Linked DNA regions of Rattus norvegicus. The protein of the gene in region 2 purifies or fractionates together with the protein of the main gene of each other region. This does not show direct contact. Links are inferred from orthologs where the notes say so. Each region holds a gene or a part of one and is shown on either strand. Other genes may lie near its edges.

Region 1 (4,036 bases), on a different chromosome or scaffold from region 2:
GCTTGAACACAGGCCCCCACACACTCTGGCACTGTACCACTGAGTCACACACCCTGTTCAGAAAGAGATCCTTTACTTTCTGTGGGTGTAAAACACTATGATGTTATGAAACGGGCATGGAGATGCCTTAAAACTTGTTAAAGTATAAGTATTGTATATGACCAGCAATCCCAGGACTGGTTATGCATCCAAAGGGAGAGAAGTCGGTGTTGAAGAGACACTTGCATCCTGGTAGTTTCCAAATGGGAACTGCCTAATCACCCTCCCATCAACAGAGAAATGGAAAAGAACAACATGGTGGACTTATACAGTGGATACAGTGAGAGAAAACGATTGTAGAGGCATGGTGTTGCATGTATGTAATGTTAGTACTCGGGAGACTGAGACAAGATTTGCATGACACTGATGCCAGCCTGGGCTACACAAAGAGAGACCCTGTCTTAAAGAGCCAGGAAGGAAAGAATGAGGAAGGGAGGGAGGAAGGGAGGGAGGGAGGGAAGGAGGCAAGGGAAGGAAGAAAAGGAAGGAAGCAAGAAAGAGAAAATGGGAAAATTCACCGATATGTGTGAAAACTACTAGTAGAAGTTGAAAATTACTAAGAGTGGTCACCCAAGGATTACTCTGAGCCAGTCAGTGGTGGCAGTGAGACTGGCCAAAGGGCACAACGCTACGATTAGAAGACAGGCAGTGCAGTGACTGTAGCTAATAGTAGTGTGTGCTTCAAACTAGGAAGAAAGTTTTTTAATATTCTCATCTTGAAAGAAAAGCAAGCATTTACGGTGACTGTTGTACCTATCACCATAGATCTCATAATACATAAACATTAACATCACAGTCCATAAGTGTGTATGTTTATTGTATATCGACTAAAAGCAAAACATGACCCAAACCCATCCAAATGCATCCCAGTGCATGGGTATTCTACAGGAGCAGAAGCATTTACTAAGAGTGGTTACCCAAGGATTAGCCTGAGCCACACTGCCAGTCCCTACCATACGCATAAACATTCCTCCTAGTTCCGGGGTTCCCATCCCATCCAGTTCTCACATGGCCTTACCCCCAAATGAGGCTGCAGCTATGGGACAGACGGTGGACTCACCTTGCCAGCTGGGCTCTCTCACTTTGGCTCTGTCTCTCATTCTTGGGGATGCAGTCTGGGACTCCTTTATCATTCCCAACCTGCTTTTGCCCATGTCTAGTCCACTAGCTCTCAATGCTTACAACACATACTGTACACGAGGATTACCAAGACAAGGGGTGCAAGGGGTGTGCTTCCTGTTTTGGTTTTGTAGTGTGGGGCTGAGGCTGGTGTCCCTAGTTTCATGCATGCTGGGCAAGTGCTGTATCCCTGAGCTACATGCTACACCTGCACATCATTAGCAAAGATCTAGATGTGAAAAGAAGGAAGGAAAGAAGGAAGGAGGGAGGGAGGAAAAGAAAGAAAGAAAGAAAGAAAGAAAGAAAGAAAGAAAGAAAGAAAGAAAGAAAACCCCGTGTGCCATGATGGTGTGTGTCTGTAATAGCAGGAGTCGGGAGACCAAGGATCCTGAGTTTCGAGAGCAGACTAAGCTTCAAAACGGAGAGGGCACAAAATGAGATTTCAACTCAAAACCAAGAATTAATTTAAAATTTAGAGAAGCACCCAAAACCCAAGGCCTAGGTCGCACCAGGAGCAACTGAATTAGAATGTTTCACATGGTGCCCCTGGGACACCAGGACTCCAAGAGATCCTATTATCCAGCCTACGATGCTCCGCCCTTCAGGCTTGTTTGTACAATGCAAGACTCAGGTCAGCTTGCTGCTAAACGACCAATGAGTACTAACGCTTCCCTTTTGCCTATCAGAGAGAGGCGCAACTTTGCAGTGCTAAGTACACCCTTCAGACTTACCCGCCTTTCTCATCTGTTGCCTTCCAGAACACCTTCAGAGGACCTGTCTTTTCTCCTTAACCCTATAAGGAGTTTCATTTTCCTGTCTTCGATAGCTAGTTTCAATATTTCTCTCCTTTCCCATATCAGAAAAGACTCTATTTAGGGTTTCCAGTTCTCCACAGGAGCCTGGGGCTGAGGTGTACCTACTGCCTAGTAGGCACTCAACTGTTCTAGAAATCTTTTGCAAGAAGCTTATAAAGTTTGAAATGGTAACTTGAAAACATGATGTCGACCCGGAAGGAACAACTGCTTGCTCTACTCCTGGAGCTCTGGTCAATAAATAAGGAAATGATGTAAGAACAGTAGCTGTCTCTGTCAAGTGTCTTTGATCTCCAGCGCCAAGACTGAAACCCTGAAGTTTCCCCAACTATTATGCTGGAGAGGGATGGATTCCAGTTGCACAGAACAGCACCAGTGACCTGAAATAAAACTGTGCAATTAGAGCGTCCACGCATGAGTAATGGTTTTGTTTTCAAATTAAAGCACTGAGTTTTGCCCCCTGAGAAATTTGCAAACCTCACTTGTCAGCCTAGGCAGAGGAACCTCGCTACCAGCAAAGGCTAGGAAACTTTTCACAAAGTATCTAGGTCTTGGTGGAAGTGGACTGGGCCAGTTAAACGGGTAGCGATCCCAAGTACTTCCCTCCATCTCGTTCCCCAAACTAAATGAGCTCTGTCTCCAGTGCCCAACACAAGCAGCTCGGCCGTAGGGACCTGCGACCCGGGACCCTCGGCAGAACCTACCTGAGCGCCAAGAACCGCTCGCCCAGAAGCGCCAGCCCGATGCCTAGCAAACTCAGAGCCACCAGCCGGCCCATGGCGCGGGACCGGCCCGCCGTCTGGTTTGGGCCTGACCGGGCTGCACCGGACGCTGGGCCAGCTCCCCGCCCCGAGCGCGGAACCGCGCCTGATCCCCGCCCCGAGCGCCGGCTCTGCAGCCCAGGCTCCGCCCGGCGCCGCGGCCTCAGAGCACATCCGCACATGCCCGCGTGGGAACCCAACTGAACTTGACTCCTTTCACAAACACTCGGCCAACCCTCCAAAGCCCGCGCAGCTGCACCTGCTCTGCTCCCTGAAAACTTTAGGGTGGCCTCTGCGGAGCTCTCTTGATTTAGTTAAGTTTGGGGTTGCTTTTTTGTTGTTTTGGTCTGGAGTTTGAGGATGTTTTCCCCCTTTGTTGTGTTTATTTTTGATTTTTGAGAAGCTAGGAAACAAACCCAGGACTTTGTTCATATTACGCAAATAACGAGCCACATCTACACAGAACAGTTTCGTTGTTGAACATACTTGTGTGTGTGTGTAATATGTCTATGTTTAAATGTAAAATATATTTAAATATTAATTATTAAACATAGGAATGTATACTAAATATATGAAATCTATTAAAATAGTACTTTTAAATTTTCTTATTGGTCCAGGATGGTAGTGAACATCTGATCTGTCTAATTCATATGCCAAGTTCTTGGGCAACTCAGGGCCCTGCCTAGAGTAATGTGTTTTGGTTTAGTTCTTTATTTCATATGCATGGATGTTTTGCTTGCATGCATGTGTATGCACACATCCATGTCTGGTATCCACAGAGGTCAGAAAAGGGTGCGCACTACCCCAGTAAGTACAGCCAGTGTTCTTGGTGCTAAGCCATCTCTCTAATTTTAAATATTCACTTCCTTTTTTCTTCTTTTAGTTAGGAAAAAATGGCTCTGGACAGGCCTTATGTAAAAAGTTAGAATTGGAGTTACATCCTTTTATTTTAAGATTTATATTAGACTAGACCGCCACAAACTCAGAATTTATTGGAGTACTAATAAATTTTCTCTCCTTTCTCCCTTTTCATTTTAACACTTATTTATATACACTTATAAAAATATAAAGAGCGAGGTCGCTCATTGAGATTGTGACAGCTACTGAGTATAACTTGGAATCATTTCCTAATTGTTCCCAGCACAATTCCTACCTGCAATGTGTTTGCAGAAGTTAAGCAGTCAGTTCTTAAGGAACATCATTCTTTGACAGTGTTTTGTTATTGCAGCCGGAGATGACCTTGGATTTGAGGCTTTCTTGACTTCCCCTCCTGAGGATTACCAGCATATGTTGACACATCAGGCC
Region 2 (5,219 bases):
TGGCCCTTACCCTTTGCCACACTTGGGGTTGGGGTTATCAGACAGGAACATGGGCAGGAATTTCATGAATTCTTTCCCCTGAGGCCTCTGTTTGCCCTCTGGAGTCAGAGGTCTGCAGCGGACACAGGTTGGGTCAATCACTGGCAAAAGAAGAGAGCCAATCATTAGCAAAATGGGCATTAAGACTTATACAAACACTGAAGCCGTAACACTTAAGGGCTAAGTGCTTAAGACCAAACACAAGGTTTCCTTGCATCTTTCCACCTTCCAAAGCTCCAGCTCCAGGGGTTTCAAGGACCCCTCGTGGACCTAGGTGCCCTGTTTTGAGGAAGACCTAAGAGCCCAGGACTGTGTGTTCACGGACGTTCTCAGCACCTACAGAGCAGCAGGAGGCAGCCTTTGAACACACTAGCTGGCACGCCTGAGAGAGCAGTCGGTGTGCTCTGCACACATGAGAAGTCTCATGTGTCCTTGATGCAGCTCTGAGTCACCTGTGTGACTGAGCACAGGACAGGGACAGAGGGAAGGAGACAGCCCCAACACTGACAAACACACAAATGAAGGGAAAGTGAAATGGCTAAGCGATGCTACCATTTTTCCAAAATTAAAAAAAAAAAAAAGTCTAGAAAAGGAGATGAAAGTACCAGAAGCATTGCAGAACTGGTGAGTGACATTGTAGAGTCTACAGCAGGAGGATTGCGGTGAGACCCAGTCAAAGTAATCATCAATCCAGGATGAGGGAGCGAAGCCTACGCGGGTGCTGGAGAAAGGAGAGACAGTGATGGGCCAGTCGGGACTCCTGCGAACTCCAGCTCCTTCCCCCCATTTGACATTGCCACGTGACTGACCAACCCTTCAAGATAATCAATGGCCCATGAGCCCACTCTGATGGCCAATGAGCCTACTTTGCTCACACGAAACTTGCTCTAACAGATTTTTTGAAATGACAACAAAAAAACCTTCCCAAAAGCTGCTTTTGCAGAGAAATTTCAGGCCTGAGTTGACCCTGCCCACGAGTTCTTCCTTCTGCCTCCTTCTGTTCAAGACTGAAAAGGACCAAACCCAGGCAGGTGATAGCTGGAACCCTAACGCTTGGGAGGCTGGGACAGGGCCAACTTGGAGACCATACGGGAGAGCATCTCTCAGACTAAACATTAACTCAAGAGACAGAGAAGTACAAAGGACCAGACGTTCCCGACACTGACTAGGTGTCCAGCTCTGCTGCGTTAAATATCTGCTGCACCAGGGAGTCATTGTCACAGCCCATGCCACCGCACACCATGTTCTGCCCTCTGCGGGAACTGTAGTTGTAGCCCTCTTCCAGGACGAAGTACACGGGTGGGCCCGAGTGCAGGTACTGACCGAGTGACTTGAAATAGTCAATCACATACGAATCCTGAAAGGAAGACCAAAGAGAGAATACAGCTCCATGGGAGACTGCTGGGAATAGAGCCTGTGTCGCCAAGCAGGACGACGCATGGTTCTCTTCCTCTGGGTCCCAGAGTGCGTCTGTTGTTAAGCTGCAGACAGAAGGGATCTCAGTGATCTCAGGAGACTGGCTGCTCCACCTCTAAGGCTATGTCAGGAAAAGTTACGAGCTCATAGGCCAGCAGCCTGCTCCAGCAGAGCCCTGCAGCAGATCACTGTTGCCCCTTGCATGATTTGCATTCAGAAGCAAGCATTAACACCTATAACACATGCTCTGAAAACTGTACTCAATAGCGGCTAAAGAAGTTAAAAGAAAGTGGCTTACATTTGGCATCGAGAGAGACTGATCCAATCCGATTTCTACTTTGTTCACTACTGCAATACTGAATGACAGAATGCCCACAAACACGGCCATCTGGAAAAAAAGCAAACCGAGAGACGACTGCTGATGTAATCATAAGCTGAAGAAGAAATAAGATCCTGCACACCAAAGACACGACTATTGATTTATTTTGGGGTGGTATTGGAGAGTGAACCCCATGCCTTGCGTAAGGCTAGGCAAAGACTCTACCACTGAACTACATCCCCAGTCCAAACACATGCACACAAGCCTGACTCTAATACTGCACTATAATTCTGCGTATATATTACAACTGGGTATGTGAGACAACATACACTAGAAGATAACAGGCGAGAGAAACAAGGTTCCAATTTCTTTGCAACATTCTGTAAAACTACAACTCTTTCAAAACAAAAACTTAGGGTTTGGGCACAAAAACAACACAAAAAACCCCAACCCAATGTTACCAAAATTCTTGACAATGGTGACTGATTAATGCACTAGAGGTGCAGGAGAGATGGCTGAGCAGCTGAGAGGACTGACTGCACACATTCGTGTAGGCAAAACACCAGTGCACATAAAAGTAAATAAAACTAAAAAAGTGTTTTAAAAACTGCACAAGCAAAGGACCCTGCTATTGTATACATTTGCCTGTGTTTTCTGTACTATATTAACAGTGGCTGGGATTGCCCTCCCAGGCCTCTCAGAAGGCATGTGACACATCTATGTAGAGAGAGGGAAGACAGAAACCTCAGAAGAGTCCGTACCACAACTGGCCGCAGCCAGTCCGTCAGCAGAAATGGGGCAAAGGCGTTTTTGAAGAAGCGGAACAGGTAGCTTTCGGAGGCTTGGGATTCTTGTCCGTCGTCAGGGCCTCTGACACAGCACAGGATGTCCAGACGGTTTTTCTGAGAGCACAGAGATAGAGAGAAGCATGGAAAACTCTCCAGCTTCGCCCAGACTCCAGATTCAAACAGACCCTTGTCCTTACCTCTTGTCTCTTAATATCTAACCCCAAGAAGCTCACAAAGCAGGTAATCTGAAGGAGGAAGTCAATGAGGACGGCCATCCCCGCAAACAGAGAGAAGGTGTGGACAGCTGGCATCGAGGACAGCGCCCCTACAGGGAGAGGAAAACACTGTCATGCCACCCTGAGGTGTCACGCTACCCTGAGGTGTCAGGTATGTTCCCATGCACATATGCCATTTCCTCTTGACCCACATTATACCAATCCATTTTAGGATCAAAAATATTCTTAATAAGTATTTAAACAGAAATCCAGATTCACCATATTATTTTGGAGGAAAACCTTTTTGATGTTGGGCCAGCCACATGATCCAGAAACAAACCAGGACATCTGCCTCTTTCGATGCAACTGCAGTCTGGTAGAGTCGCCCTGACCCTGGCACACTGCACACTTGTGCTGGTTTTCTTAGAAGAGTAAAAGGGTATCATCTCCCCTGCACCTGTGACTGTCTCAGGCACAATAAAGACCACAGGTTCCATGACAGCACTACAGGACAGGAAGTGATACGGGGCCAGGAGGCCTCCACTGAAGCTCGCCACCTAAACCCAGCCCACACGGCCCAGGGAAGAACCGGCAGTCACATGGGCACTGCAGCTGTGACCTCAGACAATGGAGACTATCTTCTCCGCACAGATGTCTGGCCTTGTTCAGTCTCTACAAGGATCAAGCCACTTTTCTCTTTCTGCACTTTGGAGATAGACTGGGCAGCCAACGCCAAGATTCAGTGATGGCTCTGCACAAAAGAATCCCGAGGCTTTTGTTCTTGCTCATTAAGGCTCCTTGTACTGAAGCACTACAAGACAATCACTAATGAACCTGTTTCCCCTGGGGGTGTGTGCTCAGAGAAGGAAGCCTGTGTGAAAACAAAGGCAGGGCATCCTGTAAGTAAGTCAACCTGCCACACTGCCGAGGGGAGAGCCAAGGATTCTGTGGCCATGCAGGGGCGCCATTTATCAACACTTACAATAGGCACAAGAAGGGGAGATGGCAGAGAAGCCTGAGTCTCTGTTGTCCTCTATCCCAGCATGAGTACTGTGTTGGGACAAAGAGGACTCCAAAGCTGACTCCAGAGACACAGCCAGTTAGCCAAGACAAGCAACACTCCAAGTGTGAAGCAAGCCCTCAAAAGGGAGAGACATGGGGCATAATAATATACCCAGCATATCATATCCCACACAGCACAGTCATACACCACAGGCCTGGTACAATCTATAGTAAATTTACCAAAGAAAAATGCCGAGGTCTCAGAGAAGGACGAAAGGAACATGGTTGGGGCCACTTCCCCCAGGATCCTGCCCAGCTGCTGATCCAACGTCTCCTCCTGAAGACGCTCATCTCTCTTAAAGAAAAAAAAATGCACTATTGAAATTTCTCAGTAACAGAGCCGTCTGGTTCCGGTCTTCGTTAGCTGCAGCAGCAGTTAATCCTGCTAGTTGAGCTGGATCACTGATGGGCACCAGATGAGAAGCTCAGCAAAATGGAGTCATGTTATCAGACAACTGCCTGGTATACACGGGTTTCAGGAAGACGGACCAATACAGGACACTTGTATGTCACTGAGTCTCCACTCAGACAAGGACTTCAGGCAACTGAGACCAAATCCTACAATGGTAGACTGTGCCTTGAGCAGTGTCTCAGAGCATGACAAATCTGTTATGTGTCTGCTGTGCGCTAGAAGCCATTTTAGTAGCATTAATACCTGAAATAATTCCCCTAAGCGTGTTAAGTTCCTACTGCACATATGTGACAATGGTTTCTAATACCAACTTCTCACTTCTGTATCCACTTCACCAAGTAAGAGAGGGCTGAGATTCTTGGTTCCAAGTGTGCAGAACAAATCAAAGAGACCACAGAGCCGTGGGAGAGAAGGCTGTGGAGCTATCTGTGTGAGCAGCCACTTACAAGCCTGAGTGCTTAGGCAGATACTGAGCTCCGAGAAGAGGGAGAGTTACCTGGTAGGTCTGCACTAGAATGAAGATGTTGTCCACCCCAACAGCCAGCACCAGGAACGGGATGACCTCAATGACGATGAGGGTCAGTGGCATTCCGATGTAGCTGAAGATGCCCAGGGAGCAGGTCACCGAGCTCAGCACTATCAGGATCCCCGCAATGCCCAGCGAGATTTTAGAATCCACCTGATGTTGGACGAAAGCACAGGTCATCAGAGAGCTTTCTGTCCTCCCTGTTACAACTCACGGTGTGAAAGAACACAGAAAAAACGTGCAGGTTTCTCCCTAGGAACAAAGTTCATGCACTTGCAGGTAAGGCTATGGACAAAACATATGTGACTTATGTGAAGTAAGCCTTAGGAGTGAAGAAAGTAGACACAGAAACAGAAGTTATGGATAGTTAGCCTGATGTTCATGGAAAGAGCACATGTGAGGTAACTTGCTGAGGAACGTCTGACCAAGGAGAGGAGATAAC
Region 3 (4,065 bases), on a different chromosome or scaffold from region 2:
TGACTGTATTGGTCTTTTGTTCCATCATTTCTGGGCTCAAGGCTAGTTTTTTCCTAGTTCCTTTATGGGTTTGGCTGCTTTTCTTGTCGTTGCTTTAAACATGGTCTCCAGTGACCCATGCTGACTGCAGCTAAGGTGACCTTGAACTACTACCGATCCTTGTGCCTTCACTTCCACCGTCGAGAGTTACACGCATGTACCACCACTCAGTCTTACGTTGTCTTTTCCTAACTAACATACAGAATCCTGACCATGTGCCAGGCACTACTTACTTTAAAATCCTAATTCATTTTATGTTAATCATAGTGAGCTATATGGACTATGGTATGGACTATAAAGCAGATACTTTTTAAAATTTTATTCTATGTTACAGATAAAGCTATCCATACATACTCTTACATGCTGACACATATGGGCTCTCTTCCTTAAATCTTAGTCCAATTTTACTCCCCTCCTCTATGTAGCCAAGAGCCATTCTGGGGCAAAATCTAATCCCATAGCTCCCCAGTGGATAAATCTATTGATTTTCAAAGTCTTTCATTTTTGTGTTTCAGAATATAGAATGAACCGTAGGATCAGAGAAAGCACTATGTTAAGCAAGCATGGTGGTCCATGCCTTTGATCCCAGTATTGGAGAAGCAGAAGTATCTCAGTGAATTTATGGCCATCCTAGTCTATAGGTCAGCTACATAGTGAGACATCTAAAATATTATATATATGTGTGTGTATATATATATGTACACACACATATATATACATGTGTATGTATGCATGTATGCATGTATGTATGTATGTATGCATGCATGTATGCTATCTCTCCCGCCTCTGCTCTGTGAATCTCGGAATGGTTCCCATCTGCTCTCCTCTCTCATGGACACTTCAGATATCACCGCTTCTGAAAGGCCTTCCCTAAGGTTCCCAGTGGCACTATCTTCAACGCGCTTCTGTGCTAGCAATCACGAGACCTAGAAAGCTCTACTTCCGGGCTCGCCAGCCCGGGTGGGCCAGGCCATTGAGTCTCCCTACTTAAGGACATCAGGACTGAACACTTCAGGGTGGCTGCCAAGAGGCGAAGCCCCGCCTCTCACCCCCTCCTATGGACCGCGCCACCAAACCTTATGCCCGCCCCTCTAGAAAAATGGTTCAATCCAGAGGGCGGTGCTAGGTGACCCAGACGTTCCGATTGGCCCGGGCGAGCCGTACCACGGTGACGGGGGGCGACCATAGGCAGCGGCTGTGAATCCACAGCCTGTGGCCCTAGTTCGGTCTTACGTTGGTGGTACCAGGCTGCCCGCTGGGATGCCGTGGGCTGTGGGCCGGCGGTGGGCATGGATCACCCTGTTTCTGACTATTGTGGCGGTGCTGATCCAGGCGGTCTGGCTGTGGCTGGGTACTCAGAGCTTCGTCTTCCAGAGAGAAGAGATAGCTCAGCTTGCTCGACAGTACGCAGGTGAGCCGGTGAGGGCGGGGAGCGGAGTGGGCCGACACCGAGTAGAACCGAGCGGAGCTGCGCTTTCTGAGGGCGCCTTCCTTGCCAGACTCGGACAGCGGGCTGGTCTTACCTACGCCTCTCCTTTTTGCATCAGGGCTGGACCATGAGCTGGCCTTCTCTCGGCTGATCGTGGAGCTGCGGAGGCTGCACCCAGGCCACGTGCTGCCGGATGAGGAGCTGCAGTGGGTGTTTGTGAACGCGGGCGGCTGGATGGGCGCCATGTGTCTTTTGCACGCCTCGCTGTCTGAGTACGTGCTGCTCTTCGGCACCGCCCTGGGCTCCCATGGCCATTCGGGTCAGTGTTGGCGGTGGGCCGGATTGGGAGGCTGGGACTGTTCGAGGGCTGGTGCCCTCCATTCCGAGGTTTGGCTGGGCCGTGTGATGACAAGGATTCCCTGATGGTCCGTGTCTATTTTCCTGTCAATCAGGACGATACTGGGCTGAGATTTCAGATACCATCATCTCTGGCACTTTCCACCAGTGGAGAGAGGGCACCACAAAAAGTGAGGTCTATTACCCAGGTGAGTGTGGAAGTTCTGTCCAAGGGGGCGCCCTCTAGCTAGAGAAGGACATAAGACCTGGCTATGGCATGTTTAGAAGGCCTACCAGTGATTTCCTTCCTTCTCTCCCTGGTAAGCCACAGGTTGTTTCGTTAGGGAAACGGAACAGGGCATTTTCCGGTCATAGAGAGCTGCTTTCTATCAGCCTGTTTAACCCAGCCATTATTCCAGCAATTGTTTGGGAGACCGTCATATCCAAAAGTTAAGATAGACATTTGTTTACCATCGTGTTTTAAACTAGTGAGGGGTTTTGTATTTTTGTTGTCGTTTCCGGTTTTTTATTTGTTTTTTATTCGTCTGGGTGTTTTGCCTACACACTTACACACGCCCACCACTTCGGTGCCTGGTGCCTTAAAGGTCAGAAGGAGGCATCTGATACCTAAGACTGTTGGGAACCATCATGTGGGTGCTGGGAAATGAACCTAGGTCCTCTGGAGTAGGAGACAGGGCTCTTAAGAACTGAGCCATCTAGCTAGCAAGCTCCTGATGTTGTTTTTAATGGACCTCTGGATCCATCTAAAAGAAAAACAGTTTGGACTTGCTGGTGTAAGATTAAGCATCAAGTTTTGTGATTTAACAGGCGTGTTTCTCAAAAAGCCTAGGAAGCCTTGTAACCACATCAAATTTCCACTTGAGGCTTGGAAATGCAGATGCCATGAATTCTATACATTAGCCTGTAGCTGGATTGGGTAGCCTTTCATGGGCCAGGTAATGCCATAAAATATTTAGGCATTTGGTCTTTCTTTCCCCTTTGATCAAACAACTAGGTTAGTGGGGTAGAGCTTTTCTGTTCTTGAAACTGTCTTCTCATTCCCCACCTCTACCTAGATAGCCCATAGGCTAGGCAAAGGCACTATGGAAGGCCAGGGCAGAGCTGGGCTCCTCCTGATCCTTCTTACCCTGTCTGTCCCCCCAGGAGAGACGGTTGTCCATGGACCTGGAGAGGCAACAGCTGTGGAGTGGGGACCAAACACGTGGATGGTGGAGTATGGCCGGGGTGTTATTCCGTCTACCCTGGCATTTGCACTTAGTGACACTATTTTCAGCACCCAGGACTTCCTCACCCTCTTCTATACCCTTCGCGCCTATGCCCGGGGCCTCCGGCTTGAGCTCACCACCTACCTCTTTGGCCAAGACCCCTGACCAGACAGGCTGAAGGAAGACCTGCGAGTGGACAGGAGCGGGCAGGACCACATCCATTTCTCTACTCGCTGGGACTCATGTTCACTGACAGCAGCATATACCATGCAGATAATTAAGTTCCTGCTGTGTGAGGAAGGACATACATACACATACATCCAGACACAGCTCTTGGGGAGCAATGAGACGCAGAGATGCTAAGACTTGTATGTACTGTAAGATCATGCACTCACCTCCATCCAGAGAGGGTCCCCGACGTATACTCCAGGGGGGCGCCCAGTCATGTTTGAACACATACCACGAGCTTGACTCACCTGACTCAGGCTTTTCCAGAGCCTCCTGCTGGCATTCGGGGCTCTGAGATAGAGGATTGGGGTAGATGACACAGTCTGCCTCGCTCTGATGCCGCATTCCAGTAGTGATCTCTGGTGAAGGAAAAGAGGAGCTGCCCTTCGGAGGTCCCGTTCGCCTGCAGCTGTGATGCCCTTCCCTCCATCCCTTTCCTCACCATATGCCTTATCTCCATTCCAGTCCCCTGCTATGCAAGTGTCCCTGTGGCTTGTCCTCCATGCCCCCAGCGACCAGCTGGGAAAGCAGAGGAATGTAGAGGAAGCTGAAGGGAAGGGAGGTTCTCCACCATGGAGACCCTCAGGGTTACAATGGGAAAGCTGGCTGATGCCTGGGGCCAGTTCCCAAAGAGAGGACCTGGGGAAGTGAGCCTGGCTCCGAGAAGCCACCCCATTCCAAAAGAAGCCTTTAGTGTATGTGTGCACACCTTGTCGGTCTCCAGACATTTCTGTTGCATTCTCTGTCTTCCTGTCTCTCTCTGTTAATAAAAACAGATCAAACAGTTCCATTTCCTTGTGTGTCTAA

Evidence for each region.
Region 1: the proteins of Npc1 (region 2) and Pon2 purify together in Homo sapiens (affinity purification with mass spectrometry; 3 studies listed by BioGRID and IntAct, with this or other methods). This does not show direct contact. The link is inferred for Rattus norvegicus from reciprocal best matches to the Homo sapiens genes NPC1 and PON2.
Region 3: the proteins of Npc1 (region 2) and Sigmar1 purify together in Homo sapiens (affinity purification with mass spectrometry; 3 studies listed by BioGRID and IntAct, with this or other methods). This does not show direct contact. The link is inferred for Rattus norvegicus from reciprocal best matches to the Homo sapiens genes NPC1 and SIGMAR1.

What each region holds. Positions count from the first base shown.
Region 1 is NC_086022.1:34,388,885-34,392,920, forward strand, and holds the start of Pon2 (serum paraoxonase/arylesterase 2), read right to left. Parts: upstream 2,801-4,036; 5' UTR 2,749-2,800; coding exon 2,675-2,748; intron 1-2,674. UniProt on the Homo sapiens protein: Capable of hydrolyzing lactones and a number of aromatic carboxylic acid esters. Has antioxidant activity. Is not associated with high density lipoprotein.
Region 2 is NC_086036.1:3,660,727-3,665,945, forward strand, and holds part of Npc1 (NPC intracellular cholesterol transporter 1 precursor), read right to left. Parts: intron 4,931-5,219; coding exon 4,748-4,930; intron 4,135-4,747; coding exon 4,020-4,134; intron 2,888-4,019; coding exon 2,760-2,887; intron 2,677-2,759; coding exon 2,536-2,676; intron 1,844-2,535; coding exon 1,754-1,843; intron 1,397-1,753; coding exon 1,206-1,396; intron 761-1,205; coding exon 645-760; intron 141-644; coding exon 11-140; intron 1-10. UniProt on the Homo sapiens protein: Intracellular cholesterol transporter which acts in concert with NPC2 and plays an important role in the egress of cholesterol from the endosomal/lysosomal compartment.
Region 3 is NC_086023.1:61,700,000-61,704,064, reverse strand, and holds Sigmar1 (sigma non-opioid intracellular receptor 1), read left to right. Parts: upstream 1-1,265; 5' UTR 1,266-1,299; coding exon 1,300-1,450; intron 1,451-1,586; coding exon 1,587-1,787; intron 1,788-1,920; coding exon 1,921-2,013; intron 2,014-2,968; coding exon 2,969-3,195; 3' UTR 3,196-4,044; downstream 4,045-4,065. UniProt on the Homo sapiens protein: Functions in lipid transport from the endoplasmic reticulum and is involved in a wide array of cellular functions probably through regulation of the biogenesis of lipid microdomains at the plasma membrane.